Rattus norvegicus: one gene and its partner. The protein of the gene in region 2 interacts with the protein of the main gene of each other region in a biochemical or structural test. Links are inferred from orthologs where the notes say so. Each region holds a gene or a part of one and is shown on either strand. Other genes may lie near its edges.

What was found.
Region 1: the proteins of Anxa7 (region 2) and Sri interact in a biophysical measurement, tested with the Homo sapiens proteins (2 studies listed by BioGRID and IntAct, with this or other methods). The link is inferred for Rattus norvegicus from reciprocal best matches to the Homo sapiens genes ANXA7 and SRI.

The regions. Positions count from the first base shown.
Region 1 is NC_086022.1:26,938,601-26,944,464, forward strand, and holds the start of Sri (sorcin), read right to left. Parts: upstream 4,043-5,864; coding exon 3,992-4,042; intron 3,130-3,991; coding exon 3,046-3,129; intron 1,343-3,045; coding exon 1,273-1,342; intron 762-1,272; coding exon of another isoform or gene 676-761; exon of another isoform or gene 511-675; intron 1-510. UniProt on the Homo sapiens protein: Calcium-binding protein that modulates excitation-contraction coupling in the heart. Contributes to calcium homeostasis in the heart sarcoplasmic reticulum. Modulates the activity of RYR2 calcium channels.
Region 2 is NC_086033.1:3,886,761-3,892,113, forward strand, and holds part of Anxa7 (annexin A7), read left to right. Parts: intron 1-80; coding exon 81-175; intron 176-4,044; coding exon 4,045-4,158; intron 4,159-4,340; coding exon 4,341-4,511; intron 4,512-5,353. UniProt on the Homo sapiens protein: Calcium/phospholipid-binding protein which promotes membrane fusion and is involved in exocytosis.

The sequences.
Region 1 (5,864 bases), on a different chromosome or scaffold from region 2:
AGGAAGGAAGCTTCCCCCCTGCTTCTGTTAAGGTTCTTGCGGAGGAACCACTGAAGCTGAGGAAAGGAAAAAGGTAACTTTCCATTTGGAAAGTCGGGTCCCCCTCCTGGGGTGAATGGTTCTGACCTGTAGCATCCCGCTTGCCCCTTCCACTTTCAAGTCTGTGGCCTACGACTTGGAATCTGTGTTTAAAGGACTGGTGGCTGTACAGTGTCTGTGCTGCGGAACTCACGACAGCCACAGGTTGGGAGGTTTATCATGGCGAGTTACTACAGGGAACTAAGCTAACTAACTGGATCGCATGGTCCTTGTGTTTCAGGAAGTGGGCTCGTAGGACCAAGTTACATGACAGGAATTTCAAGAGCTCTTCCTTCTTGAACTGATTTCCCAACTAGCTGAGAGCTACAGTGCCAGTCCTCAGGTGTGAGCTCTGAGCAGTTTAACTTACCGCTTGCTATAAAGTGGAGGGGCCCATCTGATGTTCTGACTTCGTTAACAAGTGCAAAGAAGTTAGAAGGTGGCCCAGTCGGGCCAAGACAGTATTTATTATTTACCCCAGACACTTCTCGTGGTCAAGATTAGATTTAAAACAAAATGAAACAAACCAAACCAACCAACCAGCCCAGGGCACGTGGGATAATAAGCCTCAGCCAGGATTCAACACCTTTGCAACGTTTACTTTCCGATTTGCTTCCCGGAGCACAGTTCTGAGAAGTCAGGGCAGTAGGCTGTGGGATGAACAGTGGGGCAGTGCATACTGTCTGTAAAGGACAGAGGAGGGAGCAGAAGGCTGGCATGGAGCGAAAGCAGGAAGGGGACTCTGTCCTCAGCATGAACACATCTTCTCAGGTGACAGAAAGAATGACCTAGGCGACGTCATGGCCGGCAAGTGTTTGTATTACCAGGTAAGCCCAGGGCCCAGAGATCAGACAGCCAGACTGGCCACTCTCTCAGTGCCACCAGAGTTAGGATAGAGCAAGCACTTGGCAAAGTCACTGGTGCCTGTTAGCACTTAGCATTAATGATACCTGACCTGGTGGATTCCATTTCAGCACCCTAACTTGTCCTCCGTGTGGGAGGCTGCCCAAATCGTCTCACTGGTTTGAATGGTCCCGGAATACAGGGAACCTGCTAGGAACTATGCTCTATGAACCTTTTAAAATAATAGCTCGATGGATGAGAAAAGTCTGATTTCTTTAAAGGAACAATTGCCGTCCGCCGCCGCCGAGGTACAGAGAACAAGAATACCGTTAGAAAGATCCCAAGGCTTACGTTTGTATCCTCCCGCTATGCCAGACTGAGTTAGGCATCGCTGCAACTCGTCAGCATCAATTTGTCCGTCCTTTAAAAAAGAAACAAAAACCGAGAGAGGAAATCAGAGCAGTGATTTGCATTTTCAAGTCCCTAAGCAGCACTGACAGGAGAAAGTAGTTAGTTATATGTAGCATTTCTTTAGAGGAACCCCTTTCAAAATTCTCCCTACCCTAATTCCAAAAATAATCCAATGGTGAGAGAATATTTGCCATGGCAAACAGCCCGCACCCAGTTTGACCCAAGAAGCTATCAACATCAACCACTTTAAAATTATTTCACAGAGTTGTTTAAAACCATAGCCCTCCAACCCCCTTTTTAAAAGAGTGGGGAAGTAGGGTCTATCATAGACTTTTAAGCATCAGGAAATACAAGGTCAGGTCCAAGGAGAAAGAGGCCCTTGGGTCAACTTGACTCGGGAGACAGGGTTTTCCGAGCACAATTATATAGATACCAATACCTACTGACTGAGGTCAGAATAAGACACACAACACTTCTAGGGATTTTAAATAAAATATATAAATCCGAGTTGGTGAGAGCCATCGCGTTATAAATAGGGACGGGATCAATAATTTGCAAGAAGATGAATGTGTGAAATAGAGGCCAGTGCTACTGAAAGCCAAGCAGGTGGAGTTGCTTACATGCTTGAAGACACTGGCAATCTAAGAATGCTTGCCTTGAGGTGTGCTTTCGTCTTGTGGTTTCAAAGACACGGATCAATAACGGATTAAGTAGACACTCGAGAGGAAAGTTTCCCAGTCTTCGACTCAATTTTCCATTCAAATTCTCAAAGTCGGGTTTCTTAGAGCACCACCTCATCCGAGGCGGCTGGAAGATTTTGCTTAGCATATTCTAGAGCACTTTTTGTTTGTTTATGTTTGGTTGGTTTTTTAAAATCACGATCTCATTCTTTCGGACTCTTGTTTAAAACAAGTCTAAGGTGAATAAGTAGGAAGGTCCTCTCTGGACACATCTGGATTATATCCCTGAATATTTACCAAACACAGTGACCTTGCAAGGCAGGCACGTGTCCTTCCCCACAGTAGCCATAGGCATCTGTCATAAAACTCTCTGAGTGAGGAAGTGGGCCTTAGGACTCGCTGACCTGCATTCCTTCTGTGGGTCATCCAGCCACAACACCTAAAAAGGGCATAGAAAGCTAGCCTCACAGGAGCATCTGCACCTAGGGTAGAGGCCACCTTCCTAATAGTGACAGTCACTCTTGTGCTTGGAAGCTCTTTTACAGAACTTCTCTACCTCCTTTGTGGGTAAACGATTAATTATCGGATTCAACTGAAAGTAGCTATCAGTCGTAATGGAGCTATAGAATCATTAATCACCGATATGTGCTTTTAGGTTGGGCAAGCCACAGTTTTATGTTCAGATTTTGAACTTCTTTTCTGTAAGCAGCCCTTGCTCTGCCCTGATAATTCAGTCCTAAAGGCACCTTTAAACTTTGTAGATCTTCGAAGTATTTTCATAATCCCCCTTCGGGTCAATCGAACCCCAGTTTAATCACAAGTTTAGTTTTAATCCGATCTGTTATCAATACACACAACAAACACTCTGTCCTGCTTTGTTCAGATCTAAAACAATGCTTTCATTTCCTTCTCCTCTTTCTTTTTTTTCAGGCAAAGGGACTCACTTCCAGGGCAAAGATAGTTTTGTGCCCCTGCAAGAAATGCTAACACAAGCAGAATATAACAATTCCTCAATAACAAAAGAAAGGCTAACCTGTCCAGCCACAGCAGCAAAGTAACCATAGAGCGGGTCCTGAGTGTGTCCAGGGAACACAGGCCCCCCAGGAGCCCCTCCACACTGTGAAAAAGAAACATAAAGGCATCAGACACAGAATTGAGTCTACTCTTTCACCATGCAAGGCTTTTGTACAATTGACACCGTGTGGCCTTCACAGCCTCTAATTCCCCACCGCCACACCACACCACACTCCGGCTCAGTGACCCACCAGGCTTTTCCACTCCTGCTCCTTTGACATTAAAAGCTGGAGACTTGGTCCAAAATAAATCTCCATGAAGGTGATGCCATTATATGGGAAGCCACTTTAAAATCCCTATTAACTAGCTTAGGCTCGGGATTGTGTTCCTGATGGTTTATTACAGCTTTAGTAGTGTTTTAAAAGTACTTGAAGTACTAGGTAAGGCTGGAGTTAGTACAGGGCTGACAGGTGTGGCTTGGGAAGAAGGATGGTCCGTTTGTATCTAAGATGAGGGTGCTTCAGTCTCTGACAGTACATCTCCAACATCTGGCGAAGTGGTCTTCCTCTAGGACTTCAGCTTATTTCTCCAGTCTTTCTGGCCGACCTGTCACTTTCTTTTCCAGGGAGTGACCACAGAACCATTCTAGATCAAGATGGCTGTTGTTGCTTGGGGACATTCCGAGAGAGAGCAGGAAGTCAACACCCAGTTTGCACTATCTCACGCCACATAACCGACTCACAGAGTAGGCTTCCCGGGTCGCAGCCCACCCACCTGTGGGCCCGGGAAAGGCACAAGGAAAAGATGGGGAAGAAATATGGAGTGGGGCCAAGGCTGGACATCAGGGTCCAGGCGAACTCCCAGGGAGCGTCTGGGACCGCCCGCGGCGCCTCCTCCCGCGCGTCCGTGGCGCCCTCCAGTCCCTGGAGCCGAGAGGCTGCTGTGCCCTCACCCGCTGCACTTACCCCGCCTGGGTAGTACCCTCCGCCAGCGCCAGGGTGCCCGGGATACGACATGGTGCAGACTGCGCCTCCGCCCTGTGTGGTTGCTGCTCGGCCCGTCGGCCCAGAGCCGCCCCGGAGCGCACCACCAGGCCCCGTGGGGGACGCCGCCCGCCTTCCGCCGCCCGCCGCCATCCACCCTGATCGCCCTGCTCCACCCGGAGTGCCGCCCGCACCCTGATGCCTCCGTGCAGTGTTAGCACAGCGTGCGACCCATGGCCAGACGATGACCCAGGACCCCAAACGAGTTTATAGCAGGACCTAATCTCCCTCTCCGTCTAGTGGCACATTCCGACATCCAGGCACCGCTAGGGGATTTTCTTCTTCCTCCTACTGTGCTATTTTGTGGAACATTTATTTACTATTTACACCAAGTTATTGGATAGGGAGGATGGGATAAGGACGATGTGCACAGTTGTAGGAATGGGAAGAACAACTCCAGTGGGTGAAGGGGACACTTTGCAAAATAGGAAAGAACCTTTGATAGCCAGGTGAAACTTGACCTTGCAAGAGAGCTTTTTGCTTTGAATGACGGTGGCCTGTTTCTTTGCCAACTGTTAAGCTGGGTGCAGCTCAGGTGTGATTGCTAGGCGTGGATGTGTGCGGTGGGGTAGAAGAGGGCATTTTCTAGGCAGGAGAGCCTCACCCAGATCATTCGTGGAATATTGAATTGTTTAATTTTCTGGATGTTTCAAATAGAAACATCCGTGATGGTGAACCTTACTGAAAAGGATGTGTAACTCACTTGGGTTGTTCAGAAGATGGTTCAGTTTCTTTTTCGGCTTTCAGCGCAATTTTCAAGAGATAATTGTTTGCTTGCCCTTGACTGTAAAGGACTGAACTGTTTTTTGTTTATTTGTTTGTTTGATTGATTGATTGATTGTTTTTGATTGTTTGCTCTTACTCTTTTCTTTTGAGGCCCGGGTTCTCAGGCTATTCTCTCATGGCCTCAGCCTCCAGATGAGTCACTGTGGCTGCCTGGTTTTTTGTTTTGTTTTGTTTTTAACATTTTGAGAAATACTTTAATAAACAAAACTGATCACAGTGTGAGACCTTAACTTCTCTCAAGTTCTCTTTGGGTACATAAACTCCAAAAACATGAAAGTTATGAATACTGAGAAAAATTCTAAATAGTCCTTATGATCACATGACAAAGGTGTGGCTTGGATTATGTCTGCCTCCGGAGATAAAATTACTGTTTTCAAATACCATGGTCATTGATTAGGCATTTTGAGGTCTTGTCCTGCATTGTGGAACTTTTTAACCAGCTAGATGATCAGCACTGAACTCACACTTGAATTTAAGCTCTTTCAGGACTCATGTTTAAAAGAACACAAAAAAATATGTGTCCCTGATAAAGTGTTGGTAACTAATGCAGGATTCATTTGTCTGGTAAGTGACTATGCTAATTGTTACATTAATAGTCATTAGGCTCTGGTCACTCCTTCTCCCTTAACAAGCGAATTTTAATGGAGGGCTGTAAATGAAATCTTTACAGTGATTGCCGGCAAATTAGTATGCCCTTGCTGTTTCAGGTTCAGGAAAAAAATATGTGGCAACTAATAGTTACAACAAAGATAAATGTGTGTGCATGCGTGCGCGCGCGTGTGTGTGTGTGTGTGTGTGTGTGTGTGTGTGTGTGTGTGGCACACACAAAGTAATTAATGAGTGTCAGATGTCAGACCTTCAAAACACTTTACCTGTTTGTGTAGTCCTTATAAAGTTCTTTGAGATAGGTGCTTTTATTATGAAATTCAGAAACAAGAGCTGAGGGACAGCAAGGAAAGGAGAATATGAGTTCAAAGCTGGGCTATGGCACTAGGTACTCTAGCTCTGC
Region 2 (5,353 bases):
CCTTGTCGGCAAGCACCTCGGTGTCATCTGGTGCCTGGAAGAAGTTTCATCCTTAATATAAATATCCATGATTCTTCCAGGGACTGATGAGCAAGCGATTGTGGATGTCGTGTCTAACCGTTCCAATGACCAGAGGCAACAAATTAAAGCAGCTTTTAAGACCATGTATGGCAAGGTAAGCTTTTCCCCTTATTTAGCACAGCAGGGTCTACTGCGTCTGAATTTGTGTCAGAGTGGACACTGTATTTTTACTAATGCTGTGGGGGAATGGATAGATAAACGGACTTCACAGGCTGCAGTGTACCCCGAATCCTTGCTGTTTCTCCTGGCCATGCGCTCAGGGTCCATCTCTCATGGCACCATCTCCTCTCTCCTCCTTTCCTCTCACTTCGGCCACCCCCAACCAGGTAACTCAAAAGCCACCAACCTCTAATCCCTCCAGTAAATAATAGCTTTGGCCAATTCTGTGTAACAGTTTTAAATCAAGGAGCAAAGCGTGTGCAACGAAAGCTTGTAATCGTAGGCCTAGACCTTCTGGGTAGAGTTCAGCATTCCAGTAGTACACAGCAAACCTCCACTCTCCAGTTCAGTGTCTCTTCAGAACCTTTGTTACTTGCGAGCAGCCGCCCTTCCCGCCTCATATGCATCTTTTATGTGACCGTTTCAGGAAACAGTAGACAGGATCCCATCAAGACCTGCTCCTTACCCTGTCCCTGTTCCTTCTCAGCCATTGGTGACCTTTCCCCGTTTTCTTCCCTCCGAGCGTGTCTTGGGGTATAATTATGTGGAACTGGTCTTTTATACTTCTGTGTTAGCACATGCTGTACTCCCGGGCTATTACTCTTCTCCTCTCTGCTTGCACGGTAAACAACTTTTTCAAGATCTGGCTTCGAATATCAGCTGCCGTGTGTCCTTCATTAAATGGGACAGCACTGGCTGGTCCTTCCACCGAGGTCCAACCATGATTCTTTAAAATCTGTGCTACTGTTGGCCTCACCACCGACTCTCAGAACCTGTGCGCTTCCTTCGCAAAACCCATGTCGTGTTGTCCTCTTCATGTTCCGCCGCGGGTGTGTAATGAGTGGTTCCTTAGTGAGTGTTTGTCGAATCGATGACCAAGTGTAGCAAAGTTCATGGCAAAAAAATGCCATTGTTCCTCAGGTATATAATGGGGAGAAGTGGCTAGCACTGCTTTTTCATTTACACACAAATCCTAAACTTTCCAAACATCATCTGCTGCAGCCTGATTACTGTCTTCAGAATAGGCAAGTGGTCCATCAGCTTGTCCAGCCTGTCTTCCTCTGCCCGGTTCAGACACACTTTATTTCATCATCACCATCACCACCATCATCACCACCATCATCACCACATCACCACCACATCACCATCATCACTACCATCATCATCGTCAGTAGCAATAGTAGTAGTAACAGTAGTAGTAATAGTAGTAGTAGTAGTAGTAGTAGTAGTAGTAGTAGTAGTAGTAGTAGTAGTAATACATTGTATTTATTGTGTGCATGTATATTTTGGTTGTGTACTGAATACCCTTGCCAGGCTGTCTTTTTTTCTTCATTTGTTTATTCTTCCTTTGTGTGTATGGATGGATGCATGGATGCATGGATGCATGGATGCATGTGGATATGTTCAAGCCACATTGCACATGGCTAAGTCTTGCCGGAATGGGTTCTCCCCTTCCTGTGGGAAGGCAGGCAGGGCTGGAACTGAATAGAGACCATGGAGGAGTGCTGCTTACTGGCCTGCTCCCCACAGCTTGCCTGCTTTGCCCTCATGCACAGCCCAGGACTGCAAGCCATCGTCCGTCGGTCATTCAATGGTGCATCAAGGGTACGCCTTCCAGACTCAGCTCCAGGCCAGTGTGATGGAGGCGTTGTCTCAATTGAGGCTCCTCTTTCCAGATATCCCCTGCCACCTACCAAGATGCCAAAAAATGTAGCCAGACACATACTCGGCCCTGTTTCTTCACTGATTAAAAACCAAGAGATTCTTCTTCTAAAGAGCTGGGTGTGGCAGTGCACACTTATGGTTCTAGCACAAGTGGCTGAGATGGAGAGAGCAAGGAGTTCTGGGTTAGCCTGTCTACACAGTGAGACCCTACTTCATACACAAAACTACTATAGATAATTGCACTGCTGAGAGCCTCCTCTGTTCTTGGTGTGTAGCCCATCTACCTTGTCTTAAGTAACTGTCTCCTTCTCTTTGCCTGTTCGTTTTCTTACACTCTTTAAGGTAGGAACTAAAAGCTTTCTTTGAGCTTCCTAGCCCACTTTGGAAGTCACCTGGCTTTTGTTTCTGTGTTACCTATTCGACACTTGTCTTAGTTACTTTGTTGTTGCTGTGAGGAGATAACCAAGGCCGAGGCAACTTATGGAAGAGTTTCCAGGGGACTCAGGTTCTACGGTTTCAGAGAGTTAGTCTGTGACTATCGTGGCAGGGAACATGGCAGGCAGGTAGGCCTGGCGCTGGAGCAGTGGCTGAGAGCTCACAGCTTATCTGAAAGCCAGAGACAGAAAGAAAGCAACACTAGGCCTGGTGTGGGCTTTTGCAACGTCAGAGCCCACCCCCAGTGCCACAGCACCTCCCACACGCACACGGCCTCATATACTAACTCTTTGCAAACCTTCTGCCACCTGAGATGGAGCATGCAATTATACAGTGAGCCTCTGGGCCATCCTCATTCAGAGCACCTCAGGGCTATATCGAGGTTCTTTTGTTGGGGGTTTTCTTCCCACTCTTTCCCAATTAGCTTTTGAGCAAACAACACAGAAACATCACCTTATTAACAAGCTATAACAGGTTCTGAAACTATTAAAACCCAGCTAGTCTATTAATAACCAGATAAATGCCCCATTACTTGACAACTGCGTCTTGCTGTTTCATGAGTGACCTCATTGCGACCTTCTTTGGCGACATGCTCATGGTCTGTCCTGCCTCATAGTAACCTCTTTTTTCCTCCTCTCCTCATTCTCCCTCCCTCTCCTTCATCCTTTCGCTCCCCCCCACCCCACCCCCAATTTGATCTCAAGTCTTCCTGTCCTCTGCCCAGTCATGGGGTCTAGCCTTTTATTAACCAATGAGGGATCATTGGGGAGCACGCTTTACAGCACATTGATTAGTACAGTACACCAAGATTAGGCTGCCGTCTGGACAGGGGCACAGAGCTCAGCTTCTGAACACACAGCGCACAAGACAAAGCCAGGTAGCGCTAGGGTGCGGTTTGCTTTGTGTTATCTCTTCAGATGTTTGCGGTCTCAGTGAGACCAAGATGACAGTGATTTCTACTTCTTTCTAGAGCCAAAAGTAGTTTCTTATACTAAGTAAATACCTGCTTATTTTGTATTTTTACATCCATTTATTTAGTTTTGGGCGGGTGGCTATCTATGAGTGTGTGCTTGTCATCCTATGTGTATGGAAGTCAGGAGTTAGTTCTCTTCTTGCCCCATGTGAACCCCAGGGGTTGAACCCATTGGCAAGTATCTCTTACCCACTTAGCATCTCACCAGCCCTCATTTCGTTATTTTGACCTATTCTTTTTCTAGCCGGCCCTTGTGCCTTTGTGTGTGGTACAGTAGAAGAACTCTGCAGCAGGGGTTCAAGTGTTTACAGACACAAGGAATTCACCACTGAATTTAATAGATTTCCTCGTTCTTTTGTATTTCACATTCAGATTTGAAATTTCAACTTTCATAGTGCCAGTTCTACTTAGTTTTTGCATATTTTCCTAAAAAGACTCAAGTGAGGGGTTGAGGAGGTGGCCCAGTGGTTAAGAGCGCTGGCTGCTCTTCCAGAGGACTCGGGTTCTGTTCCCTGCACCCACATAGCAGCTCACTACCCTTTGTAACTCCACCTCCGGGGGCCTTCTGTGCCCTCTTCTGGCCTGCACTGTCATTTCAGGCATGTGTACATAGACATACAGATAGACAAAATATCCGTACACATAAACAGCTTTTAAAATTATTTTTTGTAAGCGATTTATGTGAAATAAGATACAGAAATCCTGTAAGCTTCTCATATGTCATTAAACAGGATTTAATTAAAGATCTCAAGTCAGAGTTGAGTGGAAACATGGAAGAATTAATCCTTGCCCTGTTCATGCCTCCTACATACTATGATGCCTGGAGTTTGCGGAAGGCGATACAGGTATGCTGTCTTATTTTCTGCGGTTAGTCCGTATTGCTCGTATCTGTACCTCACACGCTCTGATAGTTCCCATGTGCAGATGGATGAGACAAAATTGTTTTGTATCGTCTGAACTACAGCTGAGGTGTCGTCAGAGAACTCCCTTTGCTTCTGTGTAATCCTGCTCTCCTCATTTCATGTAGGGAGCAGGAACTCAAGAGCGTGTGTTGATAGAGATTTTGTGCACAAGAACAAATCAAGAAATCCGAGACATTGTTAGATGCTATCAATTAGAATTTGGACGCGAGCTCGAGAGGGACATTAGATCGGATACCTCAGGACATTTCGAACGGCTCCTCGTGTCCATGTGCCAGGTGAGTAAAGTCAGTGTTAATGACTGTTCGTTAGTGAAGGGACATCATTTGTACCTGTCGCCAGGGAACATTCTTTATTAGTGTTAGCCCCTTGGATTATTGCCATCTTTGTGGAACAACACAGAATGCAGTGGGCAGATTGCTTCTAGTTACTACTGAGACTGAGTTCTGTAAGGAAGAGGAAATAACTTCTCTTAGATTTCATGAAGTCAGAACCTTCCCGAGGCTCTGTGGTGGAGATGAAGGTGAGATCCATGACAGCTTTGCAGTGTCATGTCAGGTAATGTGGGCCACAGTGAAAGTGCCAGCGGGTGTCCAAGGCAGAGGAGCAGAGGTAGGAGCACAGGAGAGTACTGCAGTTGGCGTAACTGCGAGCTTTCCCACGTGCACCCCAGTTCCCGAATAATGAAGGCTTAACTATTTACGAGTAAATGTGTAGGCTGTAACCTTGCGCCTGTTCCCCAACTAGCTCATAACTTATATAAGCCATTAAACTATTCTATGTCCGCCACGTGGCTGCTTACCTCTCCTCAGTTTCATATGTCTGTCTCCTCAGAGTCCGGGTGGCAAATCTTTTCCCTCACCTGTCTGTCTCCTCAGAGTTCCTATCTCTACCAGCACTCCCTCCCTCACCCCCACCCCGCACCCCCTGTAAGCCCCGCCCCCTTGTTAGCCCTGCCTTTTGCTCATAGGCCATCAGCATTTGATTGACAGGTGATGCTTCTACACAGTACACAAGACATTCTCTCTGCAGTTGGCATCTGCCTTATTATTCCCCAGGTATGCAGAGAGGGGACAGGAAACACTCCAAGAGCGTATGTAGAATAGTATTAAAAACAGGA